2 linked regions of the Arabidopsis thaliana genome follow. The protein of the gene in region 1 interacts with the protein of each later gene in a pairwise test. Each region holds a gene or a part of one and is shown on either strand. Other genes may lie near its edges.

What was found.
Region 2: the proteins of AT5G67610 (region 1) and SEC22 interact in a protein complementation assay, tested with the Arabidopsis thaliana proteins (one large-scale study listed by BioGRID).

What each region holds. Positions count from the first base shown.
Region 1 is NC_003076.8:26,960,173-26,965,617, forward strand, and holds AT5G67610 (transmembrane protein (DUF2215)), read right to left. Parts: upstream 3,467-5,445; 5' UTR 3,443-3,466; coding exon 3,337-3,442; intron 3,200-3,336; coding exon 2,950-3,199; intron 2,849-2,949; coding exon 2,691-2,848; intron 2,622-2,690; coding exon 2,476-2,621; intron 2,391-2,475; coding exon 2,331-2,390; intron 2,235-2,330; coding exon 2,142-2,234; intron 2,015-2,141; coding exon 1,853-2,014; intron 1,776-1,852; coding exon 1,669-1,775; intron 1,548-1,668; coding exon 1,399-1,547; intron 1,318-1,398; coding exon 1,052-1,317; 3' UTR 759-1,051; downstream 1-758. Other genes in the region: WIH1 (cysteine-rich TM module stress tolerance protein), read right to left, coding at 9-54; AT5G67620 (DUF4228 domain protein), read right to left, coding at 4,719-4,832, 5,026-5,207, 5,296-5,445.
Region 2 is NC_003070.9:4,008,760-4,013,912, reverse strand, and holds SEC22 (Synaptobrevin family protein), read right to left. Parts: upstream 3,157-5,153; 5' UTR 3,023-3,156; intron 2,854-3,022; exon of another isoform or gene 2,440-2,853; 5' UTR 2,405-2,439; coding exon 2,217-2,404; intron 1,930-2,216; coding exon 1,769-1,929; intron 1,678-1,768; coding exon 1,531-1,677; intron 1,383-1,530; coding exon 1,306-1,382; intron 1,162-1,305; coding exon 1,078-1,161; 3' UTR 809-1,077; downstream 1-808. Other genes in the region: AT1G11900 (Tetratricopeptide repeat (TPR)-like superfamily protein), read left to right, coding at 1-747; AT1G11880 (transferases, transferring hexosyl groups), read left to right, coding at 3,586-3,925, 4,009-4,114, 4,243-4,335, 4,448-4,643, 5,010-5,153. UniProt on the Arabidopsis thaliana protein: V-SNARE involved in vesicle trafficking from the ER to the Golgi complex and required for early secretion. Involved in endoplasmic reticulum (ER) biogenesis and functions as well as for Golgi-stack integrity. Essential for gametophytes development.

The sequences.
Region 1 (5,445 bases):
GATAATACCTTGGGGAGGAGGAGCACCGACAGGATGTTGTTCTTGATGATACATCTTTCTTCTTCTTCTGAGTTCTTTGAGCTTTTTTTTCTTTCTCTCTTTGTTTAAAAGCAAACTCTGTTCCTTTCCTTTATAACGAAGCTATGCCGGTGAGGAATAATGATATATACTTTTAATTTAATAAAGGAACCAGAAAATAAAGGAAATATTCTTTAAATAAAGTCTTTCTTGCATCATAAAGATTACGATTAAATTTCTTTGAAAATTAGGTGATCTTCTTCTAATGTGCTAGAAACTTGACCGTACAAGAATTTAATTTCAACTACTCTACTACTAGAATCATTAATTATGGAATAAAAATATCAGAAAAGGGGTTCTTAGTAATCATAAATTTACACTGTTTTAAATTCTAACTCCAAAATGCTGCATCATATGTTTCAAATTCAAAAGAATTAAGCAAATTATGTCAACAAATTGACAAAAAAAAGTTTAAGTTACTATGAAGTTAAAATCACTATTTGACACATAATTTACCCTCTTCTTTTGCTAATACAATGAATACATTTCCGTCAATTTTTCAATATCCATCGTTATCCTTGTACTATCATAATAGGAGAAGAAAACCAAATATAATACAACTTCCTCGCTTGAATAAAAGTTTGAGAGAATTTCAGAATTCGAGAAAAATATGAGTTTTATCCACCCACATGTTAGTCCATATTCCCATGTCATAGATAATCATATTGTAATATTCGAATATTAATATCCATACTAAAAGATTCACATCACCATGAAAAGTTGAACCCATTCAAGATCATAAAAGGAAAAAGAATGCTCATTGCATTGTCTACACACAAACATGACGCAACCTAAAAACCCAATTAGGATCGTTACAACAAATCGTGGTCTCATCCACAAAAAAAAAAGCTAAAACACTGAACAAGTCATAAAAGAAGAAAGCAACTTTACCTACAAAGGCTCTCTCTCTTTCTACAAAAGAGTTCCTTTTCTCTCTAAACGTTATGAAACTTAAACCGGCTTGGTTCAGAAATCAGAACCAACGCATCCATTTCCGTGGCTGGTTTTTGCTAGAAGATCCTTTTCTTGGTGTTACATTGATCCTATCCGCATTAACTGCTGCCCATTTGCCAAAATCGGGTGAAGAAACCAATTCTTGAACAGCCTTTGTCGTGCTATCCTTAGTGAGCTTTTTCCATTCTTCTTTTGTTAGTTGGCTCCTTTCAGGAGTTTTATGGAAAGAGGAAGGAAATGTATCTGATTCAGACGGTGGAGATTCTCGCATCCCGTTGTTGATTCCTGTAAAGAATCATTACACAAGCTTATTATTTGTTTCAACTTGTTTAATTTGTAATTTGAGATAGAGATAACAAATCAAACCTCCTGATGGAGAAGCAGAAGTTACACGGTTGCGAAATCCAGAAGCATCAGGACTCTTTTGCATAAAGTCATGGAGATATCCCGGGACGGATGGTATATCAGTATCACGAATTGCCTCCCAGATTCCTAGCAGTAAATTCAATGGAATCCTGTCCAAAAGAAACCAACTTACATTCAAAACTGTACACTTTCAGGGATATGGATGCTGTATAATCAAACATAGTTTGGTTTGTTGAAGGAAAAAGATCAAAGAGATTGGTCACAACTCACTCGAATAAGCGTAGAAGGAACTTCAATCTGGTGATCTTCTTTAAAGTCGATGACATAAGAATTACAGATATCAGGGCTCCTCCAGCAAGTAAAGGATCTACAGAGCTCTGTAAACAACAAATTCTTGTTAAAAGGATCAACTGGTTAAAAGGATAAGTATAGATTGAGGGACACTGAAAGAAACCTGAAGGATCAAAACAGCAGCCATAATTCGGATGGACCAAGAAACAAATAGTGATGTGCTAACATCAATGGAGCCATCTTCCGTCAGAATAAGTTTCCTCACAGTCCAAAATCCAAAAAATGCTCCACCCAAAGACAGAAACGCCCCCACAAAAATCGCCGCCTTGCAAAACCAAAATGCAGATTAAATCTTTAAAATGGGCTTTTTAACCAGCAAATGCTGACTGATGCATGAAACACGCTAAAATTACAGCAGCTGCAATGTATTGACATTATCAAAACTTACATACAGGTGTGTACATTTCTTCGTCGATTCCCATCTCTGTTAGCAGACTTTCAAACAATCCGGGTAAGTAGCGAAGAAGAAAACCACCCAAACCAAGCTGGAAAGAAGGAAATAATCTTGTGAGTGGTAGATAAAACAAGGAGGTCAGAGAAAACAGGGGAGCAAGAGAAAAGACGAATTATTCAACAATCACCAGGGTTGAGTATATGAACAATGCAAACGAACTCCGTCCAGTAGGTAGAAGCTTCATTCCCTGAACACATCACATAACAAAGGCGAAATCAGAGGGTTAATACACTCTCTTCTACAGGTCAACACGATAAACAAAATGAGGTTACCTGAAAGAGAACAAGCAGCACGACAAGGATAATACCAACAGCCATTGCACTACTGTAGTAAAACGCTAAAGATTGGCTCAGTGTAGAAGCCGAAGCCAGTAATACAGCACCAAGGAGTAAGAATACTATGCGATGCATAAATAATTCTGCAAAGAGAAAATAGATAGCTTAGAAAAGAGAAAAGAAAATGCAATAAAAGGAAACAGAAAAGGCACCTTCTACAGCAGACACTTCCAATGAGACCTTGTTAGAGCTAGGTACTCTAACATCAAGGATTTTATGGTCGAAGGGTGACATTGTCTGAACCCATGAACCTTTAGAGGCTTTCTCCCATCGACTATGAGGGCACATTCCAATTCCACGCGACAAATTCCTTCAAACATACAACATTTAGTGATATCTATTATGTACCAACGAACTTACAGGAATATCAAGAATTTAAGTCCAACAGCAAAAGATAAACGAAGGACTCACCGGTGAAAGCAAACGTCAATGTTATTTGTTTTCCCAGAGATTGACGCGTTAACTATCAACTTGAGCGAATGTGCATACTTGTCTAGATGTTTAAACCTTCCAAGTCCATGGATATGAATCCTCTCACAAAGAGAGGTTCTATCTGGCTTCAATCCAGGAGAACCTTTTACCTCTAAACTAGGAGTCACTTGAAGCTCTCCGCTTTCTCCCACAACTGTCCCATAAGGCCACAAGAAATTAACCACAACACCTTCAAGCGGAGAAATCCCCAAGCGGGTCATAGAAGAAAAGTAGAATTCTGGCACTCAAATTCGAGTACTCAAGAGCTCAAAATTACTTAAGCGATATAAACCCTAAATTTCAACCAACAAAATTAGAAAAGCTTACCAAACTGAAGTTCATCGGATGAAACAAGAGAGGCGAAAGTAAAGAGATGTAGCAAGATTATTCCGATAACGACGCCGGAGTTTCGTAGAAGACGATAATCACCCATCGATTTCTTCCTTGTGGGTTTCAGGAATAAAAAAAGTTTCAGGGCGCGGAAAGCAAATTAGAATAAATCCTGAGGGTATTTATGGTAAATTCAAAGAATATAAAAAACCGTGTATTGTCGGCCTTGTAAATGGGCCTAATGTGGCCCAATGACAGAGTTTAACATTTTCTTTTATAATAATTCTAAAAACTCAAGTGTGATATTGGCTTTCTCTTTAAACCTTCAGCTTTCCGAGACGAATTCTGTCAGACTGTCACCCAGTTCTGAATTATTTCTTAGTGAAGAAAAAATAATTTTACGTCCAATGCGTGATGCTTAGAAAATATGGTTGCTTGGATGATTAATGGTGGACTATTGAAGAGACTGAAAATGATTGAGCCGTTAATTACGTTACGTCGACTTAACTGAACAAAATGGAATGATGCATTAGTGATTAATTGAATTATTGACTGCGTAACTATGATTGACAAAAAAGGCCGACCAAATGATCTGCCAACCATATTTTAAAAGCATACTACATTTACATTTCTTACAAATTAAAATGTAAAACTATAGTTTATCCAGTTATTACCATTGCCTTAAAACTCGCTCAAGTTAGTTGACTCTTGACTGGTTGTTTAATTCTAACATCCTCACATGAAACGTTATGATTGGATAATACGGTATGACGTAAAAATCCAATTAGGTCCAACACAAACAACGATATCCAAACGTATACGAACTGTCGGTTTACACTTTTCATTATTACATACATTGTTTAAGGAAAGAAATGATTTGTGGAATCTTGAATCTGCAAACAAAAAAAATCCGGTTATACAATCAGTAGGTCCGGTACATACATGAGACAACATTTAAGCAGGAAAAAACAGTGTTGGATTGAAACAAATATACAATTAGTTGGAAGTAATCATGTCACAAAACATGAAGTTTGAATGGGCCTAATTCTTTTTCTTTCTTTTTTCCACTTTAAATTTCCATTAAAGATGAGCCTAATTCAATTATCGGTTGATAAATAAATTATGCATACCTGAAAATTATACTTCAACCAACTATTTCGTTTTGCATTTGGATGCGAAAATTCGAAGAAATTCGTATTGTGGATGTGCCTTATATTTGTATCTAATAGGTTAAAAACGATTAGAGTTCTTGAAAACATTTGTCGAAGACTGAAATCTCATTAAAGCCACAGAAAACAGTAACATCGCTTTACATAAAACTTTCAATGTTGTCGGATGATAGTTGCTTTAAGAATATCTACGCTTTTGATCAAGAGCTCTCATGAGGATCCAAATTCCGGAATGCTGTGTAAAGCTGGCCTCCACCCACCACCACCTCTTCCTCCACCGTGGCTCCTCCTCATAAACCCATCTCCCCCGTTTTCTCCGGCGACCTATAAGATCGGTCGAATTAAATTAAGCATTCGTACATAAATGATAAAAGGATAAAGCGATCAGAGTAATGTGACCAGGACAGTCATCTATAAATATCTTATTCATCATGTCACAACTAGAACTAAAATTAAGGATCCATTTTAAATGTTAAAAAGAAAAAATTGGACGATGAGAGTATTAACATGCACTTACCGCATTATCAGCGCCATCTTGGTTCGGATTCGGATCCGAATTCGGGTTGACTTTGCCCGTTTCCTGATCCAGCTTCTTCTTCCTGTGTTTCGTCTTCTTCTTCGTCAAGTCAAGCCCTCCTCCTTCTTTCAATAACTTGCCAAGCTTCACACATTTCTTCGTCGCAAACTCGTTCAAAACCTCTGCATGATATAAAATTGTCAACAGCTTTATAGATCATTTTATTTATCAGAAACAGAGAAATGGAGTTAAGAGTGTATATATATATACCTTCGAAGCTGACGAGACGATAGACATGTCCGATGAGTAAAGTGTCGTCAGGACGAAGGAGTTTAAGCTGCTTCAGTGGCAAACCTTTCTCGTTCTTCATCGTAGGTGACGTCACCACCACCGCAACGTAATGACCAGGATTGGATTTCA
Region 2 (5,153 bases), on another chromosome or scaffold:
GATATGAAGCTTTCTTGTAGAGTCTTCAGAGAGGTCTTGATCTTGCCGGGTAAGGAACCATTGAGTTCAGATTGTTATCTCAACCTTGCTAGAGCATTCATTAACACGGATGATTGCACGTATTTGACGAGTCTGCTTAAAGAGATATCAGAGTCTTCACTTCCGTATAGGTTAATAGTAATGAACAGAATCATCTTTGCATTTGCTGAAACTAGACAGATCGATAAGGTTCTTATGATACTTAAGGAGATGAAAGAGTGGGAATGTAAACCAGATGTGATCACATATAACTCGGTTTTGGATATCTTGGGACGAGCTGGCCTTGTGAATGAGATTCTGGGGGTTTTGTCAACGATGAAGGAAGATTGTAGTGTATCTGTAAACATCATTACTTACAACACGGTGTTAAACGGGATGAGGAAAGCTTGTAGATTCGATATGTGTTTGGTGATATACAATGAAATGGTTCAATGTGGAATTGAACCAGATTTGCTAAGTTATACAGCGGTGATAGACAGTTTGGGTCGATCTGGGAACGTTAAGGAATCGTTGAGGCTTTTCGATGAGATGAAGCAGAGACAGATTCGACCATCGGTTTATGTCTACCGAGCTTTAATCGATTGTCTGAAGAAGTCAGGAGATTTTCAGAGTGCATTGCAGCTTTCAGATGAGTTGAAGAACACTTCCTCATTAGATTTGGCTGGTCCACAAGATTTTAAGAGACATTTGAGGTCACATAGACGCTAAAATAGCCTGTGTAAACTCTTCAGATTTTGTTAGATATATGTATGAAATCAAACCCAATCCGTTTTACTTTAATTGTGGTTCTAATTCAATTTAAAAGAAGCCTGAGAAAATGACAATGAAGGTTTGAAAAGAGTATAATGGATGATACTATGACCAGTCTCATAAAGTTTGCATACTACAGAAGTACAAAATGTGTCAAAGTTTCTCTTTGAAAGAAAGAAGATATTTTGGGTGCCGGAATCTGAGACTTGAGTCCGGTAGGGGAGGTCGACATATGTCTGGAGAAGTCCGCTAAATTACGAAAATAGCCTTAGATTCCTCCTTTTTTTTTTACCATAGCTTGTTCTTGACCCAGAAAAGGAGGAAGACTACACCGAACACAATTGCGACTGGTGCCCATTTTCGGATCAAAGCCTGGTCAACCAAATTCAATGTTTCATAACCATATGTTAACTATCTAAGCTACAATATGTCAAGCTCACAAGGAATGAGAGCATCTCATAGCCGTGTGATCAATGTTGCAATGTGTAATATAAGGTAATATACAATCAAACTCACCTGACGGTTCAAATCTTTAGCCTTATCAGCATATATACGAGATTCAGATGTTAACCGGCTCGACATCTCGCTCACCTCTGCATTAAGAAAAAACAAGAAGAGAAAATGGCAAATGATAAGCATATTGCTCAGCTGATTATAACAAACGCAAAACTAGTGTTCCATTTCTCCTTATTCTAAAAGCTTAAATAATGATCATAGGAGAAGTAATGGATGTTGACTTACGGTCCAGCTTTTCACCAACACCTAAGACTTCTTGCACATTCCGGGTCATTATTTGATGAACCTCATAGAGTTCATCATTCAACTTGGCGATGTTTCGTTGCGTACGAGTGTCTTGGTACAGTTTCTTGGTTTTCTGTATGAATGTATCTACAAAAAAAGGCAAAGTGGAAAAAGAGTGAATCCAGAGAGGTATGTTTCCAAGATACTGAATGTACAGAAAAATCTACACTACACATACCAAATTTAATAAAGGCATAAGGCCGAGCAGCTGTTTCAATGTTAGGCCCATTGACACGTTCAAATTCATTCTTGAGATCTTCCAGGTATTGGAAAGCGAGTTTCTTTGGGTAAGAGCGGTCACACATTGTCAAGTAGCAAACACGTCCTTCTATGATGTAACTAAAGTTTTCTGGTCAAGGAAGCATACATATCTGGTCTTTCTTAAACTTTAGCTTTGAGATACAAGCATACTAATATGACAACGTAGATTTCAAACATAATGCAAGAGGATTGAAACGTGTACTAAGCCAAAAACTGGTAAAAATGTACAAGGATGTCAAAAGTGTGAATCTTAAGTAAATCAAAGTAAACTTTCTACAATCCTTATTATATCTATCAATCAACAAACTTTTGCAGCAGAAACTGAACTAATAAGGAATGAAGAAAAAACCAGAGGTTAAGGATACTGGAAAACATAGGGGCCAGTTTCAACGGACATTCTTGAAGCGTCATTTTGACCTCTGGACAGATTCTTAAACAAAGCTTTGACCTGTTGTTTATACATATCTGAATCCGGTAAGTCACGTCCATCATCGAGCCCCTCAGCTAGAGGTAACCCATCAGTAACACGAGCTATCAATGTCATTTTCACCATCTTTGCCTTATTACTTCTCCAGTAATAAAAATTCACTGCAATTATCACAAATTTCAAAACAAGAATATGAATCCTGCAACTCACTAAAATCACAAAACCAATATTTATCATCAAGACAGAACATGTAAGCCAGGTAATTGAAACACAGATGCTTAAAACTTGGGTTCTGTAAGAACACACAATACTCTAAGAAGATGAATTATTTTGATTTTTCAACAATGAGTGTTCGAAATAGCTTATCTCTATTTGCATTCAGATATTGAACAAGACGAACTATTCAAACGTGAGATTCAAATATAGCAGAGAACATCAACCTCAAAGAAAATTCTATAATCAAAAGCTTTCGTTTTCTACATTGTGACAATTCACCACCATCAAATCCAAAGTTTATAACGAATTTCAGCATAATCCACATTCATCATCTACGGAAAGAAAATTAACGATCTAATAACAACATCAATACAAGACATCAAACGGAAAAATTGATTCAAGAGCTACACAGTAAAGTAATATCTTCAGAACGTTCTCAAAGTTCCGATCCCAAACGGAAGCAAATCTCATACAAAATTGAACAAATGTAAAACGTAAAATTAGACTTGAGCATGGATTTAGAGAAACCTGATAGGAGATTTAAAATTGCTTCTGCTCGATTCAAAGATCTGAGAACCAGAGGAAGACGATGATCGAAGGAAAGAGAAGTAATTTGTTTTTTTTTTCAATTAAAGGGTTTATCAAACAAAGGGACTAAATGATTATTTATTGATTTTCTTTTCTTTTTTTGTCTGTTCGAAATTTAATTTATGGCGATCTACGTTTTGCGATTACCAATTACCAGCCCTCACGTGATTGGGCTTATGACGCGTTTTGTTGACATGTCTTGATGACGTGGCTCGTTTAATTAGCTTCACAAACGCTACATTCATCTTAGCGTTTTTAAAACTGGATTGAACCGATCAAAGCGTCTTAATGACCCGGATAATACCGGAACAATTTTCTAAAACCGGTGACTTTCCCTTTTATTGAACCGACCGGTTCATTTATTAAATTGAAACTCTCTTTTACATTTAGAGAGTAACACATTCTTCTCCGACGAGAAGATCGAAAATCACAAATCGTCACCGGACTCTTGCAATCGAGAACCATCTGTCGCCTTTTTATACTCGAATACGAGCTCGTGATCAATGGCGAAAGCTTTGGAATCAAACTCGAAATCAAGGAAAGAAACCATCTTGATCAAATACGCCATCTTCTCGCGACTTCTCGTTCTCTTCTTAACCATTTTGTGGCGGAGCTTACTCCAACCGTACGATACATCCGCTGCACTGAATCCTCCTTGCTTGTATCACAAAGAAGATTCTTTTCCGTTTCTAGTAGCCAATGCAGCTTCGAGATCCCTTGAGAACAGTGTTGTCTGGGACAGTGTTTATTTTCTCCGAATCACAGAGTGTGGCTATGAGTATGAGCAGACTTACGCCTTCTTGCCTCTGCTTCCTTTCTTCATCTCGCTTCTCTCTCGCACAGGTTTTGTAATTTAGACATCTACCCACTTGATTCCTTACTTTGGTTGTATCATTCCGGTAGTAACTGATTCTTTTTGGATTCAGTTTTTGCGCCTTTGGTTCCATTGATTGGTCTTCGAGCTGTGATGGTGTTGTCTGGTTTCACTGTTAGTAACTTGGCGTTCATATTTGCTGCTATCTATCTATTTAGGTACTTCTTTGACATTCATCCTAAATCGATTATTGTGTCTAGAAATAAGTCAAGTCAAGAGTCTTTTGAGCTCTACAAGCTAATGCTGTTTGCTATTCACCGTGTCTTACACCAGTCGTTGCTAACAGGGTTTCAGTTATTATCTTGAAGGATACTGAAGCATCATTCAGAGCTTCGATTATCTTCTGTTTCAATCCGGCGTCCATATTTTATTCGTCAATGTAATGTGTTTAAGCCAATGATCTCTTAAGTTCATTTGCTGAAAGTAAATATGTTCAGTCTTATCAGAATGGTAACTAACTGAAGACCAAACTGTTTCTTTGTGACTTTCAGATATTCAGAAAGTTTGTATGCTCTTTTCTCTATTGGAGGAGTGTATCACTTGTTATCTGGTACCAGCAATGTAGGCGTTCTTTGGTTTGCTCTCTCAGGCTGTGCAAGGTCCAATGGAATTCTTAATGCTGGTTATATCTGTTTCCAGACAATGCATCGAGCATATGAAGCTTTATATCAGAAACGGCGTGCTTATGTAAGTTATACATATTTCATTCAAATTTCAGAACTATTGCTGCAATTCAAACTCCGGATTTTTTCGGTAGTATGCTTAATCTGAAACATTCTATTTCCTACAATTAAGATCCTTCTAGAAGATAGAAAAGGAGAACTCGAACAATTTTTAGTTACTTTGTTCTTTATATCTCTATCTGATGGATTCCTACTTAACTGTTCTGCTGGTATGCTCTTTAGTTCATGGTTGCACTGGAATAGTTTCTTGATTTAGTATGTCTCAAATCACATCTGCTTGGTTAATCATGTAATGATTAAAGCCTGTCTCTTTAACTTGCTGTCAACTCTTTAAAGGTATGGTAGCCTAATGATTCTTCTCGCTACCCAGTTAGCTATGCAGGTTTTTATTGCTGGATTTCTTAGATGCATATGCATTTGTCTTCCTTTTGTCGCATTTCAAGCATACGGATACTATAACATCTGCCATGGACATACGCGTGATGAAGTGAGGCCTTGGTGCAAAGGAAGGATT